Drosophila melanogaster: one gene and its partners. The protein of the gene in region 1 interacts with the protein of each later gene in a pairwise test. Each region holds a gene or a part of one and is shown in the gene's direction. Other genes may lie near its edges.

The links.
Region 2: the proteins of CG45105 (region 1) and CG12620 interact in a two-hybrid assay, tested with the Drosophila melanogaster proteins (one large-scale study listed by BioGRID).
Region 3: the proteins of CG45105 (region 1) and mbo interact in a two-hybrid assay, tested with the Drosophila melanogaster proteins (one large-scale study listed by BioGRID).
Region 4: the proteins of CG45105 (region 1) and lva interact in a two-hybrid assay, tested with the Drosophila melanogaster proteins (one large-scale study listed by BioGRID).

What each region holds. Positions count from the first base shown.
Region 1 is NT_033777.3:15,911,691-15,919,621, reverse strand, and holds the start of CG45105 (uncharacterized protein), read left to right. Parts: upstream 1-1,614; 5' UTR 1,615-1,817; coding exon 1,818-2,065; intron 2,066-2,899; exon of another isoform or gene 2,900-3,005; coding exon 3,006-3,216; intron 3,217-3,276; coding exon 3,277-4,665; intron 4,666-4,741; coding exon 4,742-4,826; intron 4,827-5,118; coding exon 5,119-5,236; intron 5,237-5,670; coding exon of another isoform or gene 5,671-6,917; exon of another isoform or gene 6,918-6,957; intron 6,958-7,182; coding exon of another isoform or gene 7,183-7,339; intron 7,340-7,451; coding exon 7,452-7,576; intron 7,577-7,803; coding exon 7,804-7,931.
Region 2 is NT_033779.5:17,084,563-17,091,753, forward strand, and holds CG12620 (uncharacterized protein), read left to right. Parts: upstream 1-3,078; 5' UTR 3,079-3,162; coding exon 3,163-4,026; 3' UTR 4,027-4,624; downstream 4,625-7,191.
Region 3 is NT_033777.3:12,673,806-12,681,878, reverse strand, and holds mbo (members only), read left to right. Parts: upstream 1-2,826; 5' UTR 2,827-2,877; coding exon 2,878-4,986; 3' UTR 4,987-5,392; downstream 5,393-8,073. Other genes in the region: Cyp313a4 (cytochrome P450 313a4), read left to right, coding at 574-727, 793-990, 1,044-1,229, 1,389-1,461, 1,505-1,631, 1,691-2,276, 2,344-2,504; CG43630 (uncharacterized protein), read left to right, coding at 5,623-5,769; Gnmt (glycine N-methyltransferase), read right to left, coding at 5,874-6,143, 6,436-6,692, 6,753-6,880, 7,016-7,230.
Region 4 is NC_004354.4:3,960,933-3,968,816, reverse strand, and holds the start of lva (lava lamp), read left to right. Parts: upstream 1-3,489; 5' UTR 3,490-4,062; coding exon 4,063-4,116; intron 4,117-4,178; coding exon 4,179-4,250; intron 4,251-4,319; coding exon 4,320-4,400; intron 4,401-4,464; coding exon 4,465-7,884. Other genes in the region: CG6428 (uncharacterized protein), read left to right, coding at 580-787, 1,185-1,420, 1,480-2,229, 2,296-2,997. UniProt on the Drosophila melanogaster protein: Lva and spectrin may form a Golgi-based scaffold that mediates interaction of Golgi bodies with microtubules and facilitates Golgi-derived membrane secretion required for the formation of furrows during cellularization.

The sequences.
Region 1 (7,931 bases):
TACACTGAATTAGGATTCAAGCTGCAGTATTTCCTAATGCTCATGTGGCCATCAAATTGATTACTCAATAAAATGAGATGTTAAGACTTATGACAATGAATTTATGAAGCCAAACAATTAATTTTTCCTGTGTAGCTGTCGAAGTTGCTGTTGCCGGAGCTAAGGCTGGAGCAATGAAAATTGCTGAGAGCGCCCCGAGGGCTTCCAACTTGGATTGGGACTGGACATGGTTTGGACCCGGGTCTCTTGCCGCTGCTCTTGACCACGATCGATAAGGCTCGCACACATACGGCCACTTCAGAGACGTGCTTTTCGTGTAGGTTATGTTTATGAATTGTCTTGCAGATTTTTGCACACGGAATTATGCGTTTATCTCAGAGGGTTAATTTCACTGTTTGCTGCTGTTGTAGCTGTTGCTGCTGCTCTATTGTTGCTGTTATTGCTGTTGTTTTCCATGGCCTGGGTAATTAAATCGCAAGAAGCTGATAATATATGGAAAAGGGCTCAAAGTGTGCAGGAAAATGGTTTGTTTTGCCCCTTTTTTTGGCCAAAAGGGTTTTCTGGCTCTGCCGCTGCAATTTCTGCTGATGCGCTTGCTGCTGTGCATTTGCCCGCTAGGAAATTATTCATGATAACAGAGATTGCATTGATTGATTGTGTGGCTGCACTTGGGATGGGTTCGACTCGGATCTCCTGATCAGGCTTTGGGTGCTCCGGGGTGCTTTGCGGGGCTTGTGGAGGGGGCCGTGGGGTCGCTGGGTTCCTGGGAGCTGTTGCATCGACGGCTACCGAGTCTGAGTTATTTGGGCTATTAAATGTCTGTGATTTGGTCATAAGTTATAGGAACATCGACAATCAATTGTTGGCGGGTCTAGGCGGTTACCACATGTGGCAGTAGCTGGCCCCTGGCAGCTGAATACTGAAACTTAATAGTCTTCGAAAGGAATTTGGTAAGAGTACTGTATGAAGAATATTCATATTTAATATGGAAAACCCGATTGGCCTTTATTAGTTTTCCCATTTCAATTGAATTCATTGAATTTCTTTTTAATTCAACTCTTAGCATTTCACTCTGACACTTTGACCTTCTTACTCTCTTATAAAGTTTAATTACTCCTAATTAAATTACTCCAGCTATTAGCAACGTAGGTCATAAATAAATCCACCCAAAACTAAATATAACTGCAGAAATAAACCCAGTTAGGAGCCCTTAAGATATGCAATGAAAACGTTTTTGGCCTCGATTCGCACAGAGAGACAAGCCCAAAGTTGAACAACCCAGAAGAGGAGCAGAGTGGGGACCATGTATATGACCAAATATTGGCACAAATGAGCGTGTCTCTAGTGCATTGACGAGTCCCCCTTTGGTATCGATCAAACAGAAGACGAGCCAATACCGGAGAGATTCCAGGACAAGCCCCCATCGAATTGGTGAGCTGCCATGGCGACAATTGCATTGCTGCGAAGGAAATGCTAATGGGAGTGTTTTGGAATCTTGCTGACAGGGCACGACGTGGCACCAAACCCATTACCACGGCACACTAAACCATATATACCCATGGATGGGGGATATTGGGCCGAACGAGTCTATAAAAGCCCCGACTTGTGTTTGCCGCCGTTTCAGTTCAACTTCATCGCGTCGTCGTCCTGTCGCTCACTCTTTTGCAGAAGCAAAGAAACAATTAAAGTGCAACCGCAAGGCGGAAGGAAGTGCATACCACAAGTGATTCCCCTGCTCCATTGCCGAGTTGCATGTTGGATTGTGCCACAAACTTTTAGCCAAGTTCCCCCCATGCCCCCATGCCCTTGTGTGTAAAATGAAAGCAGACAACTTCTTCAAGTACGGCGCCCCTTTGTACCAACCGAAAAATACCAACCGGAGCCACTCGCACTCGCAGAACCAACCGCAAGCCCACACCGGCAACATCGGCCATCTGACATCGTCGCCGCTTCTGACGAGCGACGACCTGCGTCATCTCACCCAGCAGCGGTCCACCGGATACTCGGACAGGGAGAGCATCGCGAGCGTCAGCAGTGCGGGTGGCCGGATTAAGAGGCGATCGAGGTAATACTTTCGGAAGGAGGAGAAGGGCGCAAGTGGGAGCTAAAACTTTCGAGATGTCTTGAGATGTGGTCAAAAGTTGTTTTCGTTGTAGTTATTTCCTTAGGAACTGACAGATGCAGTTTACGTCAACTTCTCCTTGCGAATAACAAAGCAGCTGCACAACATTGTAGGGTTAAGTCATCAAAGGGCACCTTAGGGAATAAAGCTTAAAAAATTATTTTTTAATTGTAAAGATTTTTTTTTTGTGGTCTTCGTTTTACAAAAGTCATTTTATTACAGCCAGGTGAAATTTAGACCATAACAGATTTTAAGCAATGCAAGAACGTAGAAATCGATATATTTTAATCAAAGAAACAAAAATAATGGAAAAAATCATGTCTAGATATATTCTCTTATGTCTTATCTCTTAAGTCTGGGCCGTATATATTGTTGAGTAATCTAGAAGTTATATTAGACTTCACTTAAGGAACTACTTTTAAAATCGTGTGCTCTTTCCTATTATATAATACTTCATTTTATAACTACAAAAATTAAAAGTTAGAAATCTTGGACTTACATTCAACCCAGCTTTTTTTAAATTCCTTAGTGTATGTTAACACTGATAGATAGTTTGAATCATCGAGTTATATGTTGCTCTATTACCACTTGCCATGGGGTATCCAGGATTTATCAACCCTTGTGGAGGTGTTTGCTCAACCATGACGCATGCACTCGGCCACAGGAGCAGGGTTAAATTTTTATTTTGGCCAACCTGTCGTCCTGGCAACAACTGCAACACCAACTCCAATTGTCACCCCGAAAGGCAGCTTCAGATAGGTTTTTTTCGTTTCGGGCACAGTTCCATTTTCCACTTCAGTTGCTGAGCAACTTTGTTCCGTAGTCAAATTCAGTCTAAAAATGTGATCCTAGATGTGCCCTCCAACTTTTTTTTAACTTTTAGAAATTTCCCGATGAAGTCTTCGAAGGGAGGCATCACCAAGAAGTGCAAGACTATGGATTACACCAACTACGCCTATAATGAGGCAGTGGGTCGCCTCAAGGTAATGCTGGCCGACAACTCGTACGTGGCACCCAAACTGGGAGGAGGAGTGTCTTCCTATTTGCGCAACCTTAACGAGGATTCCGGGGACAACTTCTCTGACAACCTATCGGTTCGTTTTCCAATCAATTCAGTGCAAGGAATTCCTGTAACACTACATATACTTCTATAGGTAATTGAGCGACCCGTCTTCTCGGACATTTCCAAGTACTTGTCGCCCAGCCAGAAGTCGCGGATCAGCTCCTATCGCCCCAAGAAGAGCTATGCCTCGGGATATCTCTCGGCTTCCAAGGAGAATCTAGCTTCCACTCCTTCGCTTTACCCGAGCGCCTCAGTTCCGTCTGCTCCTCTTCCCTCGGACAGTGTCCCGGCTCCTGTGGAGATTTTCAGCTTTATCGAAAAGCAAGAGGACTACATCGAACAGCTGGAAAAGGAATCCAAGTACTGTCGCAACGAGCTGACCAATCTGTTGGGTAAAGTCAAGGATGTGATCAATGAAAATGAGCAGTTGACTGAGAACGCTCGCTCTGAGTTGGTGGGTCTCGGTTCGGGAAATTCGAAGCATCCAATTGTCACTACTAGTCCTTCCTCGGACAGTGACGAGCACTTGATGTTCGCCAGTGGACGTAAGACCCCGTCGACCCCAAGGAAAGGTGCCTCCAAGGGACAGGTGCAAAGTCCTCGTTATGCAAGTGCACCCAATATCGTTTACGAGGCCAGAATCAGCGAGCTGGAAGCCGAACTAATGCAGGCCAGCATCGATCTGAGGCGTCTGCGTACCGAGAACGAGGAGCTAAAGCGGAAACTGAGTCATACGGATCCCCTAACCACTGTGGCCACCTTGTCCGGGGGGTCCAACTGTGAATTGCATCGCAAGCAGCTGGAGAGCCTGCAGCAGGATAAGCAAACTCTGGAGGAAAGTGTTCGACACTTGCAGAGGCTTCTGGACGAGGCAAAGGCTCAGGGCCAGGGTAGCGCCTCGTCCAAGCGATATATCAACGACTTGATGCAGATGGAGCGCTCCCAGGCCGAGCTGGAGGTACGCCACCTCCGGGATGAACTGGATCGCCAGCACGAGCGGGTCAGGGAGCTGCAGCACGAGATGGCTAGGCGGTTGGCCGAGGAGCGGGCCAGTGCCGAAAGGCGCTACAACAGCCAGGTGGATCAACTGGGCGGAGATCTGAGTTGCCAATGGGAGCAGGTGTCCAAGCTCCAGTTGGATCTGGAGCGTCAAAAACGCTACGAAACAGATCTCAAGCGGGATGTGGCCAGTCGCAATTCGCAGATCGAAGAGCTGAAAATGGAACTAAGAGCCAATAGGACCACCTTCCTGGCGGACATGGCGCAGGTGAATGCAGAGAAGCAATCTCTGGAGCAGGACATCACCTCGCTGCGCCTTCAGTTGGATCGGGCTGCCAGGGAGGCCAAAACGGAGGCAGCTCGTCTTAATGCAGAAATAAATTCGCTGAGGCAGCGCCTTGATCGCGGGGATGCTGATCTCCTGCACTCCAAACGAGAAGTACTGCGGCTCAATGATGAGATAGCCAATCTTGAAAAGGAGGTAAATCATAGTATTCATTGTATTAATTTTTAAGCCTGTTGTTTGCTTATAAAATTAATGTTTATTGCACATACAGCTTGCTTATGGGGAGTTAAAGAACGAGATACGACCTACCAAAAAGGATCTGGACAAAAGGATCTCTGAATTGCAGGATAAGCATGGTAAGTGGGCCGAGTTAACACTTTAGCTGGATTACTTCTATCTTTCTACACCCTCTTCACCTATCACTATCCTCCCTATGAACTCTGGTTAAGCTATTGATGCTCCTATTGTGTTCTGCGTGTGTGTCAAATGATATAAAGTCAACTATATTCCAAAGATTCGAACTCGAAACCAACTACAGAGAAATATTCAATAGTTTATCCATGAGTTTGTTCTGTAGCGCGTTGCATTAAGTCCCATATCAAAGTACATAAAACATATATAACTAAACCGTTAAATGTCTGTTTGTAGCGGGAACGGTAAATGAGCTTGAGGAAATGATAACATCTCAGAAGCAACTCATGGATAAACTGACCAACGAGTGTAAAACCTTAACGGGCAAATTAGAGGACACGACCTACAAGCACAAGTAATTATGATCAAATAATACCTAAGCGTATCTCACCTAGCAATTCTGCAAACTCAAATCGATTTGGCTTTTAGAAATCTATTTTATACTATAGTGTAAGTCTAAATAATACCAGTTCGATTAAGTTTATATAGTCACAGTTAATTATTACAAAACGACACCCAAAAAGGTATGTGGGCAATTGATTGAAAGCCTTTTGACATACGGAAACCACCGCACATCGCAATATGAAATTCGAGGCCAAACCAAAGTTTTCCCACCAGTACATTCCGAACACCAATTTTCTTTTCCGAGATTCATTCGTTCCACACCAAAGCAAAAGCAATAAAATAAACATCTCGACCTAGCTTGAGACTGGATTAACACGCTGTACTTGTACTTCTTCAAACCTTTCTTTTGCTGCCTACCCGCCACGCAAATTTCATGGTAATTAGAACCAATTTGCGATCTTGTGATGCCAACAACAACAAGCGAGCCCTTGACCCCAACAACAATATCAGCTCCTACAGCATCAAAAGAAAGCGCAAACGAGTTCACTTTGCCGCCTAATCTGGAACTGACCGATTATCCAGGAGATGCGGCTGTTGATGTCGCTGCTGCCACAACTGCGGATGCTGTTGCCGGCGATGGCGATGAGATCCTGCAGAATATAATCAGAAGCAATGAGCGGCTGGCCAAGGAGTTGGCAAAGATGCCGCCGCTTCCCAAGATCTCCAGCTACAAGAAGTCCAGAGCCAGAGCAGAGGCACCAACGCCAATAGCAGCAGCATCTGCAACAGCAGCGACACCAGCGTCATCCAAAATCAAATGCTTTTGCCCCAGTTTCATGCGGCACAGACACGAGCATGAGCACATCCATACGTTGCGCAGACGCAGCAGCGGCAGCAACAACAGCAGCGAGACGAATGTTGCATGTTGCCGCAACAACAGCAGGGCAACAGCAGCAACAGCAACATCATCAGCATCGCCAACAGCAGCAACATCGTTCAGCAAAGCTCGTACACAAACCACGCACAGCAAGAGCATGAAATGTCACGGCCATGAGTCCACCGTAGACACGCACCACCAGCACGAGCACCACCGCACCACAAGCAGCAGCAGCACCACCATCGCCGAGCCGCATCATCATCCTGGCTGCTGCCATCCATGCAAAACGGATCCGTTGCCTTGGCTGCAACAGCATTTAGTTTTGAACCAGATCCTCAGTAGTAGTAGTGCCACCGCCTGCCAGCCCACGTGTCACGTGCAACACTTGACGGTGGATGCTGATAGTATGGCAGCCACATCGGCAGATGCCACATCCTCCACTGCCTGCAGAGGTCCTGGCAGCAATGCTCTTAGCGCCAGCATCAAGCCAAAGTTGTACTTTGAGCAGCTGCTGCGTCGTGACGGTTGCCACAAGAAGCCGCGTCCGCCCGTCAAAGTGGACGTCAATGTGCGCCTGGTGCCCAAACAGCCCATGCCGAAGGTCACTCGGTCCCTGAACGAGACGTTCGTCAAGGAGGTGGACGAGGTGGCACAGGCGATGAACGAAACCTTTGTCAAGGAGACGTCGCCGGAGCTGGCTCGGATCGATGAGCAGCTGGCAGAGCTGGAGAGCAATCGAGAGCGCGAGGATCACGAGGATCACGAGGAGGTGGACGAGGAGACGGAGGAGCAGGAGCAGGCCACCAAGCTTTGATAACGTTATTCTAAGCCACAAGAATAGTATTAAGTTTTAGGTATATGCATAGGGATAATCCATTTGATTATATCAATTTATAAGAATATTTTCATTTCCTAATGAAACTATTTATAATTTAAAGCATCATTTACGTGCAATGAAGCGTAGTAAATTTAGATTATAGCACTAGTTCTTATTCTAGCAGCAAATTGTATTTATTTTTGCGAGCTTTTAGTTTGCCCTGATTTATGTTGACATATTTTCTGTTTTTGATGAACCACAGTCTGGAGAAGCAGCAGCTGAGAGCCACAAACGAGCAGCTAATGTCACGCCTTAGGCAAATCTGGGGCAAATACAAGGCACAACTGCCAGCGCACCAGGGATCCCCGGAGCTGAGCTCCGAGGACATGCGGGAGGAGCACCCAATAAAATCCGTGACGGTACCTAACAGTATTTAACTAATATCTTTTTCCCTCTTTCTTTCTTCCATCTGATTCTCTTTCTATCTTTCCGTATCTTGATCTGTTTCCCTACATTTAAACTTTCTTGAAGAGAGGAAATATCTGCTTTACAATCGAATCTAGAGTATCTGTCCAATCGAATGTTGAGTAATGAGGAGCATATGAGTAAATTAGATAGCTCACCACACGATTATACTAGCTTAGTACCCGGAAAAGGTAAATTCCCCAATTCCCGTCAATAACCAAGTAGAGCACCTCCATCCCATAGTCCCTAATTCTAAACTGATTTAACCACTCCATCAGAATCGGAAGCTGAAGTCAAGGAGGCGGATCTGCCCGATAAAGACCCTATTTAGAGCCTCGACTCACACGACGACTCCACCCACACACCTATAACACTTGATTGGCGATCCACTCTAATCAAAATTCTTGTACTCACACAGCCGCTTACGACTACCAGGCAGCGACATATGGCACCCCAATCGAACCCATACAAAGCACCCCACAACCACACAACAGCGCCAGCGACAGTGATTACACGTCCGGAGGGATTGGCTTGGGCGATGGAGCA
Region 2 (7,191 bases), on another chromosome or scaffold:
TGTTCCACATCCAATTGCCACCATTGTTGGCGACAGATTTTAGCCGCTTGTTAGTGGCTAACAGTGCCGTACACAAATACACACACCGAGAGCTGGGTTAGCATCGAATCCTTGTCACATGCTGGGCTACACCTTGAACCCGGAGACCCGCGTGCGATGGATATTTTTCTGCGGCATTTTCCGATTTTCCCGCTTTTCCAACAAAGCATCGTTTACGGGAGCAACCGCAGCGCCGGCACAAGGTAACCTGCACACACATCCCGACCGTATAAACCATATAAATAAACAAAGCTCTGGCCGTCGTTCATCGTCCGGCGTCCCTACGCACTTTGTCGTGGAGCGAGAAACGAGAGGCAACTGTCGAAACTGTCAGGATGTCAAATAAGCGACAGTGGGTGGCAGACAGCAGGAAGTGCGGTGGCTCCGAGTCCAAACCCAACGCAGTGCAGAGGAGAGTAGTACAGGACCAGAACCAGAACCAGAGGCGGTATCAGGATCAGCAGAAGGACCACAACCACCCTAGGCATATTTATTGGAAATCTGAAACAGCTCGGGTGTCGACACTGCGAGAAATAAGTTACTTCTTTTCACTATAAAACCGATTTTGTATGCTTTGCTTATGTGGGATTCTTCACACAGCTTATTGGCTTAAATTATATAAATGCAGGAATAATTAGTCATTTTTACTTTGTTTATATATTTGCTAAATGTTTTTACTATGAATAATGTCGTTAATTAAGTTTCTTCATAAAATGGATAGTAAAATATTCTTAAAATAATTCTCCAAGTGCTCCTCTTACACCCACTCCAGTGGCGAACACTCCTGACCATGTATCCGTGTCCGGCATCGGGCACGAAGAATTTGTTACATGAAATTGTTAACGGGCTGAAGCCGATGCCTCGACTCGACTGCGTTTGATGCCTTTTGCTGATATATGGCCAACCTTTGACATCCTTTAAACGAGCAACATGATGCTCTAGATTATGGCCAGGAGATTGGCCCGACTTTTCCCCGTTGACTCCTCGGTTTGCCCGGATTGTCTCACTTGGGCGATACGTCAATGTGACAGTTTGATAATTTATTTTGTTCAAATTTTGTTTTTCCTTCGCTGGGGAAAAGAGCGCTTAAATAAGTTATCAACGTGGACCGACGGCCATGTAAATGGCAGCACGTAAATGAATGAAATTATTTTGCAACAAATTAAGGCAAATTTATGCGTCAAGGCGACAGGACAGGGGATTCGAGATGGGTAAGGGAGATGGGATCCTGGAAGCCTTGTAACAGGAAACACAATCCACAGGCGAACAAACAAAAGCGAAAACGGAACAGCACGAGGCGAAACGAAACGAAACGAAACCAACAAACAAACAAACAATGAAACGAAAAACGACAGCCTCGAAGAGTGAAAAGCGACGAGTTTTCCTTCACCGAAATCTGAGCAAGGCTTTGTGCAACAAAGTGAAGAACCCGGCTGCCCCTTTTCCGCATTTACAAATCCCCCCACCCCTTTAACGGGTCTAACTGCGTCCGCTCTGCACTTGTACACATCCTGACATACACATATATATTTTTTATTTCCCAGCCAAGTGAGGCTGGAATCAAATGTCAATAGAGAGTACATTTCATTCGGTCGGGTGACTGGGTTTTTCTGCCCAGCGCCACCCACTTTTCAGTTCCCCGCATTGTAGCTGTCACAGTGTTTGTTTGCGGATTTGAAGCTTTTCCTCTTTGCAACGCGCTTTTTTGCCACGCCTGCCGTTGTCCTTTATCGAAGGAGCGGCTTGAGTATTACGAACTGAATGCAACACCTCGATATTCTCGATACCTTATTTAATCTCATCGGCATTATCAAAATGAATCCACTTATCTGCTTTCATACTTTTTGGAATATTAATATAGTTTCTTGTATTTAAGAAATAAAATGTGTCAATCAATGTATTGCTTTTCTTAAAGAAATTTTTCCAATTTAATTTATATTTTTTTGGGAAATCGTCACCTAGAGCATTTCGAGTTCGTGTGGCCTTCCTCAAGGATCTCTAATCTGCTTTCTGGTTCGGATTCTGGTTTTATTTCCGGGCATCCTCCGATGCTGTCCGCCCCTTTGCCCGCCCACCGACTAGATGCTTTGGACTTGCTTTTTATTTGCACGGAAATGTATAATTTTTCCGAGTCAAATGTAAATACTTTTAGCGTATTTTTGTGGGATTCATCGCCTTGAATTTTTTGTGACTGGGGGCCTGGGGCGTGGCACATGCAAATGACACGCCTGATGCTGCGTAAATAATTTTAGCGCTCTCTCTTTTGGCATAAAATGCTAAATAAACATTTTATTCTTGGCAGAATTCCTTCTTCGAATGTGGGTCAAATGGAGTGTCCATAAAAGGCGCTTTTATCCCAAAACCAGATGCCGAAAATACAGTTTAATTGTATGCATATTGGCTGCGGTTCCGTTTGAGTTGGTGGAAACGTCACGTTTCAACAGCTCAATTTTCGGTTTTGCGATACGCGAAGAAACTTTTGCAATCCAATTAAATTCATCGCAAGTCGAAATCTCGTTTTGACAATTTATGCATCCTTGTGAGACGCCACAGGCATATTTATTCCCATCGATGGCTAGACAATGACGCCTGCGGTCCAATAAATAACCGTCCTTTTGACACAATCGAAATTGGCTCGCAAACAAATTTCTTTTGTCGAGATATCGCCCTTTTTTTTGTGCCCACTCGCACCAGAGGTTAAACACTTAACCCGCGTTGTGGGAAAAATGTGACATCAAATTATGGAACGTAGGCAAATCGCGGCCGTTATCAAAAAATGTAGTAGCCATGGTAGCCAGACTGAAGTCCACGATATGGTTTGATTAAGCGAAGTCGTGGGGTAAATTTACAAGAAAAAAACGAAACGCAAATGAGAGCGTCAAATATATTAAGGCATTTGCATTGGAAGTATTATATTATTTTTCTAATGATCATGATTAAAATGAATTACTGAATTTTTTCCGATATAAGGCTAAGCTAGTTAACATAGATTAAAACATCAAAGCTAACACATCTAGTTCAGTCTGGGCAGAAATAAAACTTAAACGTATAAACATTTTATATATCCCAAAAATAAGAAGTAGAACCTAAAAAAAAAAAACAAACACATTTTGTCTTATAACCATGACGACTAAAAGAACAAGGTTCGATAAAATGAACCTGGGAGTACCCGTTCACTCGGACCCCTATGAAGTGGAAAATGAATCGGCCTCGTCAATAAAAAGAGAAACCGGCGAGAAGGTCATGTCTCATAAGGAGCTAATGGAAAAACTGCATAAGGAGGTGAAGCTCACGACGCCGGACTTCTTCGCCCATGATCCATCCTGCAGCTCGGACGACTCCGAAGATTTCGAATTCCTGGAGACTATCAAAGAGCGAGCCAGACGCATATCCTTCGTACGACGCCGAAAGCTGCACTACACTGAGTTCTCAACGGTCGAGTTGGCCAGGCGTCTGATCCGCGAGGAGTTCACAGAGTCATCGGAGAGTCAACTAAGCGTGGATGATGAACATATCTCCGAGATCGCCGAAGAGGAGTGTCCGCCCTGCGGCACAGACTCCGACGACTTACTTCCGTACTTCCAATACGATCGGGCTACAGACCAATCGATGATTTCCGACGACAGTCTGCCAAAGGAGGATCCCGAGCCCGGATTCCATCCCGCCCATCATTGCTATAATAAGCTTATAAGCCAGACTCCTGATCCGCCGATAGTGTACGTTCCCGCGGAACCAGAACCGCAACCGGAACCGCAACCGGAACCGCCAGTGGAACCGCGACCGGAACCGGAACCAGAACCAGAACCGGAAACAGTACTACCACCAACTGCTCCGGAAGTCATTGATAAAACAGCTCCAGAAGAAGAAAAACACACTAGGGTCCTTGACCGTGGCGAAAATATTGACCTAAAGAATTTGAGCGCCATACAGAAAAACATAAGTTCGAGTGTGAAAAAACATACTGGTCAAAAAACGCGAAATTTATAAACTTAAATTGATTGATGCAATTGATGTATATGGGATCCCATTTCTCATTGTGCATTAGATTAGTGTTGCCTAAATTAAGAAAATGTTTCGTTGGCTGGAAATCAAAATCCAATCCGTATAGCCCAAATGCTGCGAATGTTTTTACTTCATATTCCAGAAGTTATATAAGGCTTTATTTTAATCGTAAAGTCAAATAAACCCATATTCGTAAATGCATACAAGCTAATGTAGACACCAAATAACCGTAATCGCCTCTGATCTCAAATGACTCCATCAACGCTCTCTTTCCCCAGCGCAGCTTTAAAAATATAGTTTTCTCGACCCGGAGACCGCACAATTATTTGGGCCATAAAGGACAAAACCCGCACTAGCGCACACATGAAGGGACGGAGGACATTCAAAGGGATAACTAAGTGTGCACGATAATGACGCCTAACGGGTTCCATTCTTCTCCTTGCTTTTTTTTGCGTGGGTGGATACTAGGAAGATGAGACAATAAGGAGCTAGAAGGACAATGTGCTGAAATTATTTCAAAAGTCTTTGTGTGCGATGAAATTCCGTAAAATACAGCCATTTTGTATTGGCCTTTTAATTTAATAAAATTATTACTCTTAGGGATAATATGGATTGGTTTTAAGTTTACTTTCTGTAATATGTAATTAATATTTAGTTAGTTCAATTCATAAACAAGAATTATGGTATTTTCATTCATCACAATAATTGTCAAGCAAGTGCCGATTTCAATTCTTTTGTTTGTTTTCAGATCTGTATGAGCTCAACTTACATTACAATATTTCATTTATTATCCATACCCATTTTTTTCATTTATGCAAGCCAACATGGCTTTGTAGCCTGTGCGTGTAAATGTTTTTGATTCTTTTAAAATATTTTAATTACGGAAGTTTACACATACTATTTCTTTCTTTTGTTTTCTTTTTTGTGTCGGTCATGTTTTCCCTTTCGATACCGGTCATTGTTTTGTTTAATTTTTGTATACACGTTAAATATGTATAGTGATAAGAATTGTGCAAGTTTTGTTTGAAAAAACTGCCACGTCCGTCGGTAACTCTCTTACCTCCATGAGCTAAAAAACAATTTACAGCCTACACTTTTGAAAACCGAGTCAATTACTCTCCAATTATATTCGATATCGGATAGGCGAAGAGCCACAGTATCTTGTTTTCTCTGGACATGTTAAACCTAACTTAAATTTTAAGAGATGCAATATAAATATAAGTTTAACATCAAATTTAATGCCGATATATAACTTCAAATCTAGCAGTATCTTGTGTGGCACATCACTTTGGTGGTGTAGCAATTAAATTCGTCGGACTTAATAGCGTTTTCATTTAAGTAATCTTCAACAATTTCAACCCAGACGTTCTCGATTTTTGGCCAATTTGGCGTTCCTTTCGGCCATGAAATGGAAATAAATATCACGTCATACGATCTGCAGCAAAATCGTCATTCGCCTAATGAAGACTTTGTTGTCTATGAAGGCTAAAGCTGGAAATGTCTAGACATTCTCGGTTGCTTGAACCCCTCAGCTGTGGATGCAGTCCCAGCTGCTGCCCGTCTGGAGTTAAAAAACAAGTCGAAGAGATTGTAATCCCTACTTTAGTATACTACAGCACTTTTATGACATTTAATTGCCGTTTGCTTTTAGTCCACACACACGCTTCTTTTCTCGAAAGTTTGTTTTTAAAAGGGATACAAGGCTAAATAAGTATTGAAAAGCGAGTGCAGCTGACCTTTCCTTAAATTGACCTTAAATTGAAGCAAGCAATTCTCTATTAAGTGATGTGAAGAGAATCCTGTAACTTGGCACACCTCAAACAAACCAAATTAAAATTAAATGTATTTTAGGTCATCGCAATGTGCTGAAATTAATCTTTAGCATGGCAATTTGGTTAATTTTTTATGGGGCCCACAAAGTGACACGTCATGCCGGCAAATCAAGCGAAGTGGTCTGCAAGTGCCTGGTCCTAATCATCATCCAAACATTGTGGCCAGTCATCGTGACTTATGTCAACCCGTTCAAGTGTGTCCCTGCTAGAGTCCTTGCATGTACATGCCTCGTGTAGCAAGGATACAAAGCAATTGTTCACCGCAATCGGCGGCATTTGGAGTGCTTTAGACTTAATGTGCGTCGAGGGGAGCCAACTGCAATCGGCATTCGTCGATGGCAATCGAAGTTTCTAGCGATAGGTGATCGGTAATCAAGGATGGAATGAGTTCCCATGACTGTTTTGCATTTGAAGTGGCTTCATGTTGCTTTGTTGCTCTAGATAGAACTGCTTAGTAATTCAATTAAATGCCTAATTAATATTAAGTATTTTTGCGGCTTTGTAACACATTTATTTGAATTTACGACTTCCATTTTTTTTAGTTTTTTATTAAATTTATATGTAATGATATCATAAGCGGTAGACCAAATCCCCCAAATGCCACCTTGATTGATTGAGTGATTGATTGACCTTATTTGTAAGCACTCATGGGACAGTTTACCCTTTTGACCAACTGCCATCGAGCGTGAAGCTGTCAAAACGTGGCTATGGAACGGAGCGGACGGTATCCATAAAATATGGCTTAAAGCCAGGCATCACGTGCCATGAGTGTTGACCCCAAAAGAAAACCGAAAATCATAACTCAATGTCGGGCTAACCAAGTGCAAAGCGCGAAATTAGTTTACACTTGAACTCGTACAGTCCGCCCACCTGGTTTTCCTTTTGCACTTTTTCGACTCCACACCCACGGCTTTCCACCAGCTCTCGTCGGCCTTCTTTTTGCTGCAGTGGCAGTTGCAGTGGCAGTGGCAGTCGCAGTCGCAGTCGCATTCGTGTTCATGCATAAACAAAATGGCTGCTGCAACAACCGGAAACTGACAGCAAACGACATTTGCGATATGCATCATATGTCTCCCAGCTTTTCCGCCCGACCCACCCCCTGTTTTTCCGCTGTCATTTTCGTTGATGCGGGGGCTGGGGGGTCGGCTACTTGGCATATTTCTGTCGTGTCATTGTTCCTTGTGCGTCTTTTTGTGCAGCTGCTCCGGCTCATGCCCCTTGTTTTTCCCAGCGAACACCCCTTTTACCCAGCCCAACTCTTCACTGTCTGCGACTGTTAGCCTTGCAGGTGCAATTATGACGGCGGGCATCGCATCGG
Region 3 (8,073 bases), 3.2 Mb from region 1:
CTTCAAAAAACTTACCCATCTTGTTATTCTAATTATTGTTATTGACCGTACGCTACCGTTAATAAAATATTTGTGTCATCGCACTTTGCCACCTGAGATTCGATTGGTTATACAACGCCATTAGTGGCACCCCGCCCCCACCCCCTTCAGATCGAAATCGATCAGTGACGTAGTGCATCGTCGTTTGCCAATTCGCATTCTTGGAGCGTGTGGCGCATGTCACCACTGGCCATTAGTCAAAATTATAGCTATTTGTATGCGCAACCCCCCACGTCGAGTCCCAATAAAAAAAAAACGGCGCGCTATCTGCGGTTCAATGGGTCTCCACCCGTAGCCCCTACGGCTTCTTCTCTCCTGGGAGGAGGAGAGTCAACCAGGTCGATTGCTGGGCTCCACGCGTGACAACAAATCGATCGATCGAGTCCCAAAGCAGTCAACACGTCCGGATTATAAAAAGTCGATTGACTGAGAATTGGCCAATCAAATTGTTGGCGCACTTCAAACCGATCGGTCGAAAATTGTTGGCACACGGATTATTACAATTGGATAGCGGACATTGGCAAAGGATTAAGCATGCTGACCTGGACGCTGTGGTGTGGACTGCTGTTCCTGCTCTGGATCTACTTTCTGTGGAGCAGGCGCAGATTTTATCTGCTAACGCTAAAGATACCGGGACCACTTGGATATCCCATTTTGGGCATGGCTCACTGGCTGATGCGCAGGGAAGGTGCTTTGGATGTTGTGATGTTTGTTGTGTTGGTCGGGAGTAATAATCTGAGTGTCCGTGCGCAGATATCCTCAACGCATTCGGCTGCTTTCTCGACAAGCACGGTCCGACAATTTTCTCCTGGCTGGGGCCCATTCCCTTTATGATTGTGAGTGATCCCCAAGTGGTGCAGGATATCTTCACATCTCCCCACTGCGTCAACAAGGGCATTATTTACAAGGCAGTGGACGATGGCGCCGGAGTTGGATTATTCAGCCTGAAGGGTGTGTGTCTATGGAATCGAGTGTGGGAGTTACTTAAGTGTGGATTTGTGTAGATCCCCGCTGGAGCATCCATCGGAAGCTGCTGAATCCCGCCTTCGGCCACAAGGTGCTACTCAGCTTCCTGCCCATTTTCAACCGGGAGACGGCCCTTCTGCTCGATCAACTCGAACCACTGCAGGATGACGGCGAGAAGGATCTCATTCCACTGCTGCAGAGCTTCACCCTGGGAATTGCCACCCGTGAGTAAAGAAGAATGTGTTGTTTGTTTAAAAAAAGACTCATAAATTATGGCTATCACGTTTGTTGTTTGCATACAAAGTGGTCGAAAGCCAGAATGCATAATTCAGTTAGAAGAGTCGATCTGATATTAAATATATGATATACTTATATGAAAGCAGAAACCACCATGGGCAGCGATGTAAAGGATGAAGAGAGCTTCAGGAGCAATTCCTTGCTGGGGCGATACCAATGGTGAGTTTTGACTTGGAATCGGAATGCATCTATCCATTAATAGCATCCTGGAAACCATGACAGATATGTGCTTCTCTCCGTGGCTCAATAGCCGATTTTGCCGGCAGCTGGCTGGAAAGGAATCGCACTACTACCAGGCCAAAACTGAGATTCGTCAGTTTATTCGGAAGGTGAGCACCTCCAACTACTCCCTCCGCTTATTCACTTACGAATCTCTTAACCCCTTTAGATAATTGAGAGAAAGTTGGCCGAGGACGAAATGGGAGCACTACCTTCCATCCAGTCCAATGATAAAAACCTATTTCTAAATCTGGTCACGGATTTGATGAGACGAGGAGTGTTTACCCTGAAGAATGTTGAGGATGAGTCGAATATCATCGTTTTTGGAGCTTTTGAGACCACGGCTAATGCAGTGTACTACACCCTGATGTTGCTGGCGATGTTTCCGGAATACCAGGAGAGGGCCTTTGAGGAAATAAAGACGATATTCCCAAACACAGGAGACTTTGATGTATCCTACGCGGACACCCAGCAGATGGTGTACCTTGACCTGATCCTCAACGAATCCATGAGAGTAATACCCCCTGTTCCTGTCGTATCCCGACAAACGTCTCAGGATCTGAAGCTGTCCAATGGTATAGTGGTTCCCAAAGGGGTCCAGATCGCCATCGACATTTATCACATGCACAGAAGCAAAAAGATCTGGGGTCCGGATGCGGAGACCTTCAACCCAGATCATTTCCTCCCCCACAACATCCAGGACAAGCATCCGTACGCCTATATACCTTTTACCAAGGGCATTCGAAATTGCATAGGTAACAGAGTGATCGCTAATTTATGACCATTGTTTTAGCTATATTCTTATTATTTCCTTCTGTTTAGGTTGGAGATATGCCTTAATATCGGCGAAAGTTACATTAGCCAAGTTATTGCGGAATTATAGGTTTAAAACGAGTTTTCCCTTCGAAAATCTATACTTTGTTGAAGATATTACGATGAAGTTGAAATCTGTGCCACTGTTGGAGCTCCAAAAGAGAACTTAAATGTTTATAGCACTTAGTGATTTTAAATAGATTATTAAAAGTTGTTGAATTAATGGGTTCTGTGAATTATACCAATATTAAAAAATAATAACATCTACCTTTTATAATCTTTTATTAACTATTAATCAATTATTCCATTTTTTAAATTTATAGCATGATTTATGCTAACGTCTTTCGTTGAAAAGTTTAAGCAGCAATAATTATTAGTACATTTTCCGAAAATGTTGGTGTTAGCGTTTTTTTAACAAATTTCTTGTTTCATGAATTCGAATTAAAAAAATACTAAAAAAAAATACTTTGCGGATTTCCGAAGACTACTATCACACTAGCATTGACTTACAAGCCGGGCAACGAATTGAAGCATAAACAAACGATGTCGCTCACCGATGTCTTGGAATTGAACAAAACGGAGTTGTTCGCGAAGATTCGCAATGGGTTGCCCGTGGTGCAAAGGACTCAGAACCTGCTGGACTGCAAGGACGATCTGCTCTTTGCCTGGCACGCGAAGGACAGCTGTCTGTTGGTTCGCAACTGGCGCTCATCGCTGGCGGCAAAGGTGAATATCCAGTTCCAGACACTGATTCCATCGAGCTTGGTGAGCCTGGAGGTGGACCGCGTGCTGGCCTCCAACGAGGGCTCCCTCGTGGCACTAAGTGGACCGCGCGGCGTTGTCATAATGGAGCTGCCCCGCCGCTGGGGCCCCGATGGATACTACAAGGATGGCAAGCCAGTGATCACCTGCCGCACGTTCGGCCTGGACACTCAGCTTTTCCTAAAAAACCCGCACTTGGAAGTGCGCCAGGTCCGCTGGCATCCGCACTCCGTGTCAGACTCCACGCTGCTCGTGCTGCTCAACAACAACACGATTCGAGTGTACAATCACTCCAAGTTGCGCCACGTGTGGCAGGTGGGTCCCCCGGTGCTTCGAAGTGGGGCCAATAACTCGCTATGCGACTTTGGCGAGCTAGCCGTTGACTTTGACATCGCTCCTGCTGCAAAACCACGTGTCACTGAACCAGAAACAGCCGGCAATAACGAAACCACTTTGGATAAGAGCAACAAAACCCTTGTGGCGGCCAAATCGCTGCCGAAACAGGAGAGGATAGAGTGGCCCATGGTTGTGCTCCGCGAGAATGGAAACATCTACATTTTGATGACCGGCGTGGATTCGGAGAATACGCGCCTGCAGGGCCCCGTTACCATAACGCCACAGGCACATGACAATTATGGACTGGAGTCCTGTGCCCTAATGATTATCCCATCACTTCCGCCGACCATTGTTATAGCTGAATCCAATGGAAAGCTTCACCATGCTCTGCTTATGGAGGCGGAGGCCACTGAGCATTCTTTCAATGAGGTTGACGACTCTGTGTTGATTGAACCCGCCGAATACGTTGTACATGTACTAGAAACTGTCGAACTTGAGCTGGGAATATCTGCACCCGCAACTGGAAAAGAAGGAGGCAACTGTCCCATATACTTAAAGCGGGATTTGATCAATGAGCTTCGCTACTTTGCCTACCACAACGCAGGACTTCATGCCGTTACGGTCAGCTTTATCGCAGAGCTGCAACGTTACTTGGAAAGCGAGTCCGATGAAGATCGTCTAGAGCTGGCGGTCTCTGCAAGTGCAGAGTACATTCTGTGCACAAAATTCGATTCCAGTGAGACGGTGAACGCAGTCTTTGGACTTGCCCTATTACAAATTCCTGCCGGTATAGTTCTACTGCTGGGCAGCGGTCAGGTGATTAGCCTTAAGCTGGTAATTGATGCCCAGCTGTTGGTTACACCTAATGAGAATAAGCCAGTTGACTCGGAAGTGTCTCAGCAGGAAAGTGGGCCACCGTTTGTCGATACGATTAAATCGCTTTTGCAACGTAGTGTTAACCAGCCCATCTTGGCGGATAAACTTTCCTCGCCATCCGCCCAGGAGAGCTTCGAACTGCTTAACCAGGCAATCGAGGTGCTTCGTGAGCAGTACCTTAAACGACATGACCTTGTGCGCGCCGCATTTACACGCCACATCAACCAGATCCAGCTGAAGAAGGAACAACAGCTGCAGGAGATCCAAGACCTGGAGCAGGAACGCGAACTGATCAGCGAGCGGGCCCACAAGCTTGCCGAGCGCTTCGAGGAGATTAGCTACAACCAGGAGCTGCTCGTCCGCAAGTGCAACGCTCTGATGCAGAGGGCCAATGCCTCACTACCCAATAGTGTGATTGCGGAACGGGAGTTTTCGCAGGAGGTGATTCGACTTAATAAGGTCACCCAGAGCCTGGCCGCTGGACTGGAGACTGCTAAGAAGACGTTTAACAAGCAGCGCTACCACATTGCCCAGAGTCAAGAGGACCTCAAGAAGAACGCGTACGAGCTGCCGGAGAAACAGCACCGCACTATCACCGAGATACTTACCCAGCTAACCGGGGAGATCGATCGCCAGATCACCGACGTCAAGCGCATTAATAAAATCGTTGGCATCTAAATTCGGATTGGGAAGCACGCTCTTAAGATTTCACCACGTTTTCGTGATAGTAAAGCCGTTGCGTAGAACTAAAACGTATTTTTAATAAACATGTCAATTAAGTCCTATTTTCGTTAGCTGGCTTCTGTTTTTTGTATTCGATGACACTTTAATGAGCATACGTCAGCGTTTTCTGCTAGACGATCCTTCATGAAGACACAAAAACATTTGATACCCATGGGTATTGTGCTACAAAGTCTACTACAGTAAAATCTATTCTTGACGTACTGTCCCATTTTCCGGATTATAGTTCAAAAAGTAAAATAATAGTAATAAAATAATAATAAGAATAAAATAATGAATAATAATAGTAGACTTCATACATCATAATTCGGAAATACAAAGTATTGTAGTACTGCTGTAACATAGTTTTCCAACTTTCAGCTCCACTGTTATTAGAATACCACAAATTTTTCTAGTATTTGGTTTTTAAAGTATCGCATTTCGATCGTTACTCATTTTCTCTGCAAAGCAGAACCCATTGAAAACGTAATGGAAAAGCATTTGCAAGGCTAATGACACTCGCCCCAAGAATTGAGGGTTTCGATAGCTATTGCGTTTTAGTGACAGTCTAAAGCGAAGTTCGGCGGACGAGAGATGACGTTGATACTACTGGCTGCCCTGTCGAACATCTACACCGGGATGTTCAACTACGTGAAGGCCAAATTCCCGTTCGTGATCGAGGCCGCCATGGTGACCCTGTGCTTTGGCTCCATCGTGGGTCGATTCTGCATAATGGTTTAGAAGAAAACTGAGGAGACTCGAGACTGTGCGAATCGAAGGAACTTTATGTATATTTATATGGATGTGTCTTGTGGCCTTATGTGAATACAACTAAAAACTTAAATCTAAACCTGTGGCTTTTCGATCAGGTGAATGTAGAAGGCGGGGTTCTTCACCTGGCTCATCTCCTTGAAGTCACCATACAACTGGTGCTTGGCTTTGGCGGAGAAGATCTCGGCTAGAATCTCCTGGAATCGTTTCAGCCCGTGGGGATAGTAGGACAGACGGAACTCACTGGTCAACTTGTTGCCAGCGATCAGGTAGTCCATCGACACCAGGGCGGGCTTACCGCAGTAGAAGAGCACGGATGTCTTGATGTCCGCCGTGTGACTCGTCTGCAATTAGAAGCAAGTCATCATTGGATTATTGGATTAATTGAATCGAAAGATGTGTAACTGATAAGGCGATTGATGATTATGATGTGTTATGTGGGGTTCACAAACAAGATCATCCGTTCTTATCACCGCGATGATGCGACAATATTAAGCTATTTTCACAGATAGTTTTTAATTGAGGAGATGATTCGCTAGAATTTGTACAACTCACTATAGGAGGTATGAACTACACGCTAATTGGATTAGATTCTACAGATCGGCATTAGATTTTAAATGGGAAATTGGTACTTACATTATAGTAGATGCTCTTGGCAGGCGTAGCTCCCGTTTCCAGGATATTGTCGTAGTTGCGATGATCGATAAGCAGGACGCCTCCAGGCTTGAGGCACTTTTCGAAGTTGCCAATAGCCTGCTTGTGCTCCCGCTGATCCCCGAACCCGTCCATCAAGTGGGCAAAGGAGTTGCCCAAGCAAATGACGGCATCGAAACCATCCTGAATGTGCTCCTGAATGTCGTCGTACAGTGTCAACCAGTTGGCTTCCTCAATGACTGTAGGATAACAATAGATATAGATACAGGGCTAAGCTTATTGATCATTGCCCAACTTACCCCACTTATCGAAGGCAGCTTCATTTCGCCGGGCCCAGCGCTCCTTGAGGGCGTACTTCAACATCTTATCAGAGGCATCTACGGACACAACTTCGAAGCCCTCCTCCACAAGCATCAGGGAGTCCACACTGAAAGAAAAGTGTTGAAGATTAGAGCACAATAGAGCATAATTAAATTAGGGATTCTTAAAGGATTCATTAACTAGATGTATTGATTCTATACCATAGTTCAGATGAAAATGCGAGGATGATTTCCCATCTTACCCCGTTCCACAGGCCACGTCTAGGACACGCTTGCATCCCTTATTGCGCAGCATATCGATCAGGAAGTTCTTGTAGTTGTCCGTACGCGAGTTTTTGTCACCGATGAAGATTTCCCACACCTTGGCGGCCTTGCCATCGGCGTACTGATCCCGGACTCCTTCGGCGGAGATGCCATCGGATCGGGCAACGAACACACTGTCAGCGGAGGTTGTCATCTCTGTTGGTCAGCACTGGTCGGCGGATTGCAAGTGAATAATTTGCCGTTCCACCATCACGTTCGACGTCGCCTTTCCTGGGATTCAGAAGCCAACAGCTGGCGCTCCCACATAGTGCCGACTTCGGCCACATACATAGCACTTCATAATCTTATCAGTTCCGCCCATTTGACGTATGACCCATGGGCGGGATGACGGCTAGAGCTTCAACATCTGTTCCCGACGGAACGTGCTCTCGCCGGCGGGCTTTCGCTTTTGTGACTTGCTTCTGACCCTGACCCTCCGGTTTTGATTAGGAGTCAGCGATCGCATCCCCTGGTCAAAATAGAATGACGAAGCAAATAGTTAAGCATGTCAGCTTACAGTGAAATCTGTAATCTGTAAAACTTATAAAAATCACAGATATTATTAGATCCTGTCGGTTCCAATCTGTGTTGCGTCACTAAAATATTGTTATTATATTTGTCCATATATATATAACAAATTATAGTTCATAAACTATAAAAGGTCTGCTCTGATTAGTACTCACTGTACATCGCATAAGCTCAAAGAGCTCTATATTTTCCTTGGATTTCCCCAAATCACTGTTTTTTTGAGATAGGAGTCATTTCCGACACAAAGATTCATATATAGAATATTGAATATTGCTAAATCATCCCAGGACTTACGTAAACCACAAACTGATATTTCTTGTTGAGTATATATGTTTTTATTTAAAATAGTATTTAAAAATATTGCACTGCTTTAAATAATTGGAACTCTTGAATGTCCAAAAGATTGGTCATTATATTGCACCTTGATTTCTACGGATACGATCTTAGAGATAAAGTCTCACTGAATTTT
Region 4 (7,884 bases), on another chromosome or scaffold:
AATTGAGAAAATAATAGAGCTTTGGCAATAAAAAAAATATATATATATATATATATATATAGAAAAGTTTTAGAAAGGCTAGAAAAATAAAAAGAATTTTGTTATAAGTTAGACAAAATAAAGTCTAATTGGAATTGATATTATGGCACTGCGAACTATCGATAGTCGCACAGCTGATTGGGTGTTTATTTATGACCAAAATATTGCAATCAGCGGAATTTCATTTGAATTTCATTAGATTAGTCATGTACGTCGTGGGCCAAAGTCTGGTGCGGTTATCTATATATAAGTGATTGCGCCGCCGTGATTTGGGCTTTTCGTTTCAATTTCCTCTGCGATAGAGTCCCAATACCACGTGCTATCTCGGCGTCCCCCCGCGAATTATTATTTCACTACTTCGGATCCGATCCGGATTAGCACGATAACGAGTTGGCCAAATAATCATCAACGGCACGGGCTGTTAATGGATTTGCTGTTTACGCGTCGGAACGACACCATCTGAGCAGCCAGTGATAAGGCACACAGCTTCGCAACCGGCGCTCCGCAGTCCATCATCCTCTATACTCTTTACTCTATATTATGGATATTCCCGTCCTGAAGACCAATGGTCACGAGAGGCTGGCCTCGCTGGACAAAAGCATGCCGCCGGCATCGCCCACTCTGCCGAGTCCCACGATCCGCAGGAATAAAAGTGATGGAAAACTCATGGCCCAGGATGTCAAAGAGGCCCGGGTGAAGGTCATCTACACTGGCGGCACCATCGGCATGGTGCGCAACGAGCGGAATGGTAAGCAGCCCAGAATGTCACGAATACGAGGATTCATTGGGATTGCCCGAATCTGTCCATGTAGATAAGATCCCACTTTTACTAACAAGGGGAGTCTTAGAAAATGGCCAGATATGATAAGAGCAATGCACTTGAAAACATTTTATTCGAATAATATGTATGAAAGTTGAAATTGTTGGTATGAATGTAAACAAAACAAATCAATTGGCAGTCAACAGATTGTTGATGCTTCTATTTAAATATTGACTATTTGCTTGCTATTTATTGAGTGGTCTAATTAGGTATTTTAGTAAACATTTGACACACGAAGCGTGACCATAAATCATCATCTTGATTAGGAAACTAATTTGTCACGGAGTTTGTGACTATCAATATTAATATTCTATAATTATCGCAGTGTTAGCTCCCATTCCCAATGCCCTGGTGCGCAGCATCCGCAAATATCCAAACATCCACGATGAGGAGTACGCGCTGCGCCGCTTTGGAGCATCTGCATCGATGGCTCCACTGGTGCTGCCCATTGTGCAGGGCGTAGATCGCCGGGTTATCTACCAGATCTCGGAATATACACCGCTGCTGGACAGCAGCAATATGACGATGAACGATTGGGCGCGAATCGCCAGCGATATTCAGGTACATACATATATATATATATGAAAGGTAATATTAATCCTTTCCAAATTATTGTCTAGCAATCGTACGAGTTCTTCGATGGCTTTGTGGTGCTCCATGGCACCGACACGCTTTCCTACACCGCATCTGCATTGTCTTTCATGTTGGAAAATTTGGGCAAGACGGTGATCATCACGGGCTCCCAAATACCCATCTTTGAGACGCGAACCGATGGCAAGGACAATTTTACGTCAGCCTTGATCATAGCCGGTAACTACATCATTCCGGAGGTTTGCATCTTCTTTGGCCATAAGTTGATGCGCGGCAATCGGACGGTGAAGGTCAGTTCGAATGCCTTAGACGCGTTCGACTCACCGAATGTTCCACCACTGGCCAGGATCGGCATTGATGTGAACGTCGACTACCGCCTGATATTCCGGCCATGCACTATTGAAAGGTTTTGCGTACACTTGAATCTCGACGAGAACGTCGGCTTGCTGCGAATCTTTCCGAGCATTTCGCACTCCACATTCCGGGCTTTCCTGGCGCCACCGATTCGCGGCGTTGTCCTGCAATCCTTCGGATCTGGAAACATACCATCGAACCGAAAAGATCTCATCGATGAACTGCGTGCGGCTGGTGAACGAGGCGTTATCATCATCAATTGTACACAGTGTCCCAATGGCACAGTGGCGGAGATCTACGATACGGGCAAGGTGCTCTGCGATGTCGGTGTAATTCCCGGTTTCGATATGACGCCCGAGGCGGCGCTGGCCAAGCTGGCCTATGTCATCGGCAAGGAGGAGTGGTCACTCGATATGAAGAAGCAGGTAAGTTTCGACTATAATTCAATACATACATAAATATGGATAATCCACAATGTGTGCATTTCATAGATGATGCAGTCAAGCCTGAGGGGCGAACTGACCTCCTTAAAGGCTCCCAAAATGGAGGACTACGACTTGGTGGACGCAGTGGCACGGTCTCTGCACTTGTCCTCGCCCCAAGAACTGGATCAGCTGGGCGAAACGCTCTTTCCGGCCATGATCAACGCCGCTGTGGCCGAAGGTGATCCCAAGAAGATCAACAACTTGAAAGCCTATGGCGCCGACTTGTCGGGCACAAATCATGACCAGCGAACGGCCCTACACTTGGCTTGTCAGCTGGGAAACGTGGAGATCGTTAAGTACCTACTGCAGAACGGGGTGTCCGTGCACGTGCGTGATCGGTATGACCGCACTCCACTTCTGGAGGCTGTCGCCACCGATAGCCACGAGATCATCCAGTTGCTCATCAACTGTGGTGCTCATTTGACGGGCTCTTCGCGAGCGGTGGGCGAGCAATTGTGCGCGGCCGCTGCTAGGGGATCGATGATCAGATTGAAGTCCTATCAATACGCCGGTGCCGATCTTGCCCAGTCGGATCCTTCGGGCAGGACGGCCTTGCACGTGGCAGCACTGCACGGATTTCCGGAGGTGGTGCAATACGTCCTGCCCTATTTCGAGAATCCGAACGAGAAGGACATGCTCGGCCTGACCGCCATGGATTATGCGGAGCGCGGCGGACACGCAGCGGTTATGGAGGTCCTAAAATCATAGAAATCTCTTCCGAACCATACATACCTCGTTCCTTGTTCCTGCAGCATGAAGAAAAAAACAAACACTGGAGGCTAGGGTTATTTCTTTTGTACTTAAGTGTTGCATCTAGTCTAATGGTTCCTTATTATCAGTTTTGCATAACTCGCATATTAACGATGTTGTCGTGGTAGTTTTTATTATTAAGTGTCGAATCCCTGACCTGTTTTTAAGTAGTCCTTATTTACTAATGTATCCATTGTATGCAATAATATTATTAGCCAAAACCAAAAATTAACCAATCATGTCTAAAATTAAGCATCAGACATATTAAACGGTTGTATAACAAGTTATATACACAAACTAGTATAATTTGTTGTATGAAAATAAATAAAATCAATTTGAAATTAATGCAAAATTTTTGAATTAGTTTGTAATCGATTGATTGATTACGAGCGCAAGTGCTATCGAGCCATCTGTCATTCGATAACTTACCAGGGCTTTGTGACCCTATTCAGTTGTTGCGCAGCCCTGGTATCGAATTGTTTTTACGCTGGCATTAATTAGAATTGGTAAATATACATCTGTCAGCGTGCACATAAGAAAGCTCTTACGTTGCAATCTAGTGCTTAGTGGCTTGTAACTCAGAAACCAGGCGAAAATCGACACAAGCGCTGGAAAAACAGCAAACAAAACACACACACAGCCCCACTCGCACACACACAGCCGCACACACACGCACACATCTATAGAGAGGTGCACACGTCAGTGCCACGAATTCCATAAAATAAAAAGAACAACAAGAAACGCAAATTCAAAGCTAAAGACAATTCTAGCCGATCGGAAGCGGATGATATATGTTAGCTATATGGTAAACCCTCTCTCGTTGCAGTCAATGTCGATAGCTAGCGCTGCGCAGCCACCGTGGATATATAATCGGTCCTTCAGATAGCCAGTCCGCATATATATTCCCGATTCCCCCGATTTGTGTTTTTGTTTGTTTTTGGTTTTTTTTTTTTTTTTGTTATTGCTGCTGCATTTGGTCCGGTACGCTAGGATAGTTAGTAATATTTTGTAATTGAAACGACAATGGCGGAAGATTCGGGTGCTTTGGAGAGCTCCTACGACTTCTCCATCGTTCAGGTGGGTTTCACTTGGTGTTCCCTGTACGTACATGCGTCCATACTGATCATGACCACTTGCAGCCCGACGATCACGAATATGGCGAGGCGGATATACGCTTAGCGGGCAGCTCCAACGATCTGTCCTCGTTACAGGTGGGTAAATCTGAACAAATCCCCCAAGTGAAGCAGGATTCAATATTATCTGTTGAATCTACCCTACAGAATGTATCCGCCAGCACAACGAGAGGCACCAAAGGCAAGGGCCGTTTGGATAGCCTTAAAGAGAATCTGTACAAGCAGCAGGTGAGTTAGGCGCTGTGAATCAAGTGGTTCATATCATTAAATGACTCGAAATGATTGCTTTCAGGAGCGCCTCACTGCCTTAAAAGAACGCGCCTTAAGGAAATCCCAGGATGAGCGACACAAGTCCAGCATGAGTGACTCCATGGAGTCGCTTAAGACACTGGGTCAGAAGCTCACCGTGTTGAAGACGCGCTCCGGCGACTCCTCCACTCCACTGGTCTCACCCACAAAGGACAGCGACCCCGGTGATGTCTCTTTACTCCAAACCAGTGGCAGCGAGAAGCTTCTGATGCTCACACAGCGCACGGAACAAAATCGTGCTTTGTTGGAGCAGCGCAAGAGGGATCTGGCCAAGTCTCTTCTTTCTGTAAAGTCGAATATTGGCCACCAAACGACCGCCGAGCTGGGCTCTTCCATGACGGACCTACGACACGCGGCGTCTGTCTCCAATCCACCCGTATCCCGCCATCGTTCTGCCTTGGACTTGGAGGCCCAGGGTCAGGAGGCGGTGGACGAAAGCCGGGTGAAGTTGCTCAGGAGTCGTATGAAGTTGACGGAACTCAAGCAGGGCCGGCAGGAACAGGAGCTAAATGAATTGCGTACAGAACTGGCCAAGCGCGCTAAACTCATCGAGCGATTGGAACTATCCGGTGCGGAATTACAGCGCACGCTCACCCAGCGAAACGAGGAGTTAGAGCAATTGCGTGTGGTCCAGGCAGAAGAGGATAGCCTGAAGGTGCAGGAAAACTCTCGCCTCCAGGGCGAAGTTTTAGTCTTAAGAGAACGACTAGCAGAGCTGGAAAACGTCAACGACCTGTTAGAAACGACGCGCTGTGAACTTCAGGAAGAGCTGACCACGGCGCGCGAAAGACAGCGTAATCTGGAGTTGGAACAAGAGCAGGAAAAGGCTTCCCGCAGTCCGCAATCGGAAGCAGCGCATACCGATGCACAGGTGAGCGCGGAGCTAGCCAAACAGCTCCAGGAGCTTACCAACCAGCTGGCTGATCTACAGGCAACTAATGAGGAGTTGCGTCAGCAAGTTGCTGCCCAGGCGAAGCTCCAGGTGACCGATGAGATTGTTTCCCAGCGCCTTGAGGAACTGGAAGCCACCATAGCGGCGCAGCTTCTAGAGCTGCAGGAACAGAAGTCGGCAATGGCTGCCCAAAACGAAGAACTCGCAGAAAAGACAACGGAACTCAATGTGCTCAATGTGAATCTGCGTCTCCTTGAGGAGAAACTCGCGCAAAGCAGTCGCAGTAAGCCCCTATTTCTGGAGGACCATTCGGAGGACAGTGCCGCCAGCAAGCAGATGCAGGAGGATCTGCAGCAGCTGAAGCTAAAGCTGGACGAAACTAACAAGGCCAACATAAAGCTAAAGCTGAAATGCAAGCAGGCGGAAAAGAAGCTGCAGAAATTCCAATCCCAAGATGGCCAACAGCAGTTGGCTTCACTGTTGGCTGATAACGAGGAACTGCAGCAAAGGATCGCCGTCCTCGAGGACGAGAAGGGTCAATGGCAGTTGGCCAACATGCAAGAGGACGACCGCCAGCCAGAGCAATCGACGGAGTCCAATAATCCACTGCAGCTGGAAACAATTCGTTTGCTGGAAGAGCAGAAATTGGAATTGCAACAGGCCCTAGAGGCCTTACTCAGTTCATCCAGTTCTGCGGAATCCATTGAAATAGTGGAGCGTCATCACTTAGAGTGCCTAGGCCAACGACGTCCGGCCAGCGAGGGCGACGCCCAGGAGCAGAAGCAAGTGCATCCACCAGGGCCAAGTCACGTCAGCGAGCTCACTCAGACGGAGCAAACTGAGGAGGAGGATTCCTCTGGCGAAACTCTTTCCCAGCTTAGAGAACGTCTCGAACTTTTCACCCAGGAGCGCGGAGAGGTATTGGACAAGCTGGAGCAACTGTCGGCCGAGAATTTGCAACTCCAGGCAAGATTGGAGGAAAGTTCAAGTTCTCTTCAGCTGTTGCAGCGTGAACGTGAGAAGGATCTGATCTCCTCCACGTCCACTTCATCCAATCTCTCGCAGGAACTCAGTTCAATGCAACGCTCCTCCGAAGTTGTCGCAACACTGGACGCCGGCGAAGGAGGCCCCGTGCTCTTTGAGAAATGCGAGAAATCCCTGAGCAAACTCAACTCTGAATTGGAGGCCTATCGCAAGGCCAACGATAGGCAGGCCAAGTTCAATGTGTCCAAGAAACTGGCCAAGGAGGCCAAGAACTGTCACACCCAATTGAGTGAGCTTCTCCACAAGGTTAAGGAAGCGAGCACGGCGGTAGAAACTGTTACCGTTGTGGAGACCGTGGTGGCCGTGACCGCTCCCAACGGAAAAGCTCTTGCGGAATATGAGCAGCTAAACGCACAGAACGCGGAACTCAAGGCGGTGATCTCCCGATTGCGCCAGGAATTGGATGAATTGCGGGAAAGCTATCCTGAAACCGAAGCGCCATTGGCCATAGTTGGTTCCGATTCTCAAAGGGAAGATGAAATCCTGCAATTGCAGTCCCAGCTGGAGGACGCACGCTCCTTGCAGGCCGAGCAACGCCAGCAGATCGAGGAGCAGGTAGATCAAATCAAGGAGCTGCGTCAAACCGAAGCAGAACAGCTGCAATTGGTGGCCAGGCAGAGTGCCGAGATCACACAACTCCAGCTGCAATCAGAGCAATTCGATCAGCTGCTCAACTCCAAGGAAATGAGCCATGAGAAGCAACTGGAGCAGCAAACAAGGATTCGTCGAGAGTTAGAGGCCCGAGCCGAATCTCTGGAGGGCGAGCTGAGTATCCTACAGACTCTAGTTGCCGAGCAGAAGCAGCAACTCATTGAGAGTGTCAGCGAAAGCGAGCACGCGCTTAACCTTAAGATGCTGGAATTGCAATCAGCACAAGAGGAGCTGCGCGAATTGAGAGCCAAAGAGGATCCGGATCAGCTCCGAGAGGCTCTGCGCGTTAGCAAAAGTTTAGTTGCCCAGCAGGTCAGAGAGTTGACCTCCAGCCAGGAGACTGTCGATGCCCTGAACCAGCAAATCCAGGAGTATCAAGGATTAGAACATGCCCACAAAGAGGAGCAGTTCAAGAACCGCGAACTGCGCGAGAAACTCAAGAAGTATGCCCTTAACCTCAAGAAACGCACACAGGACAATGCCGATCTCGAGCAGAAGGTCCAGGAACTTACTAGTCAACTTCAAGAACAGCAGGAGCTTGTCAAGCAGAAAGAAGAGGTGGAACGTGAACCCATCGTGGACAACCATCGGGTTGAACAACTGCAGCAACAGGTCAGCAAGCTTAACGAAGACCTTAAGGCCAAGATCCATCTCAACCTGGAAAATCGCGATGCCCTGCGTCAGTTAAAGCAGCAAATACAAGAGCAGGAGCAACTTATCCAAGAACGTGATGCGGAGCTCCAAGATGCCAATCTGGTAAGCAAGGAGTTGCGACGCGAGCGCCAAGAAGCCGATCAGGAAGTCTTTCAACTGGGC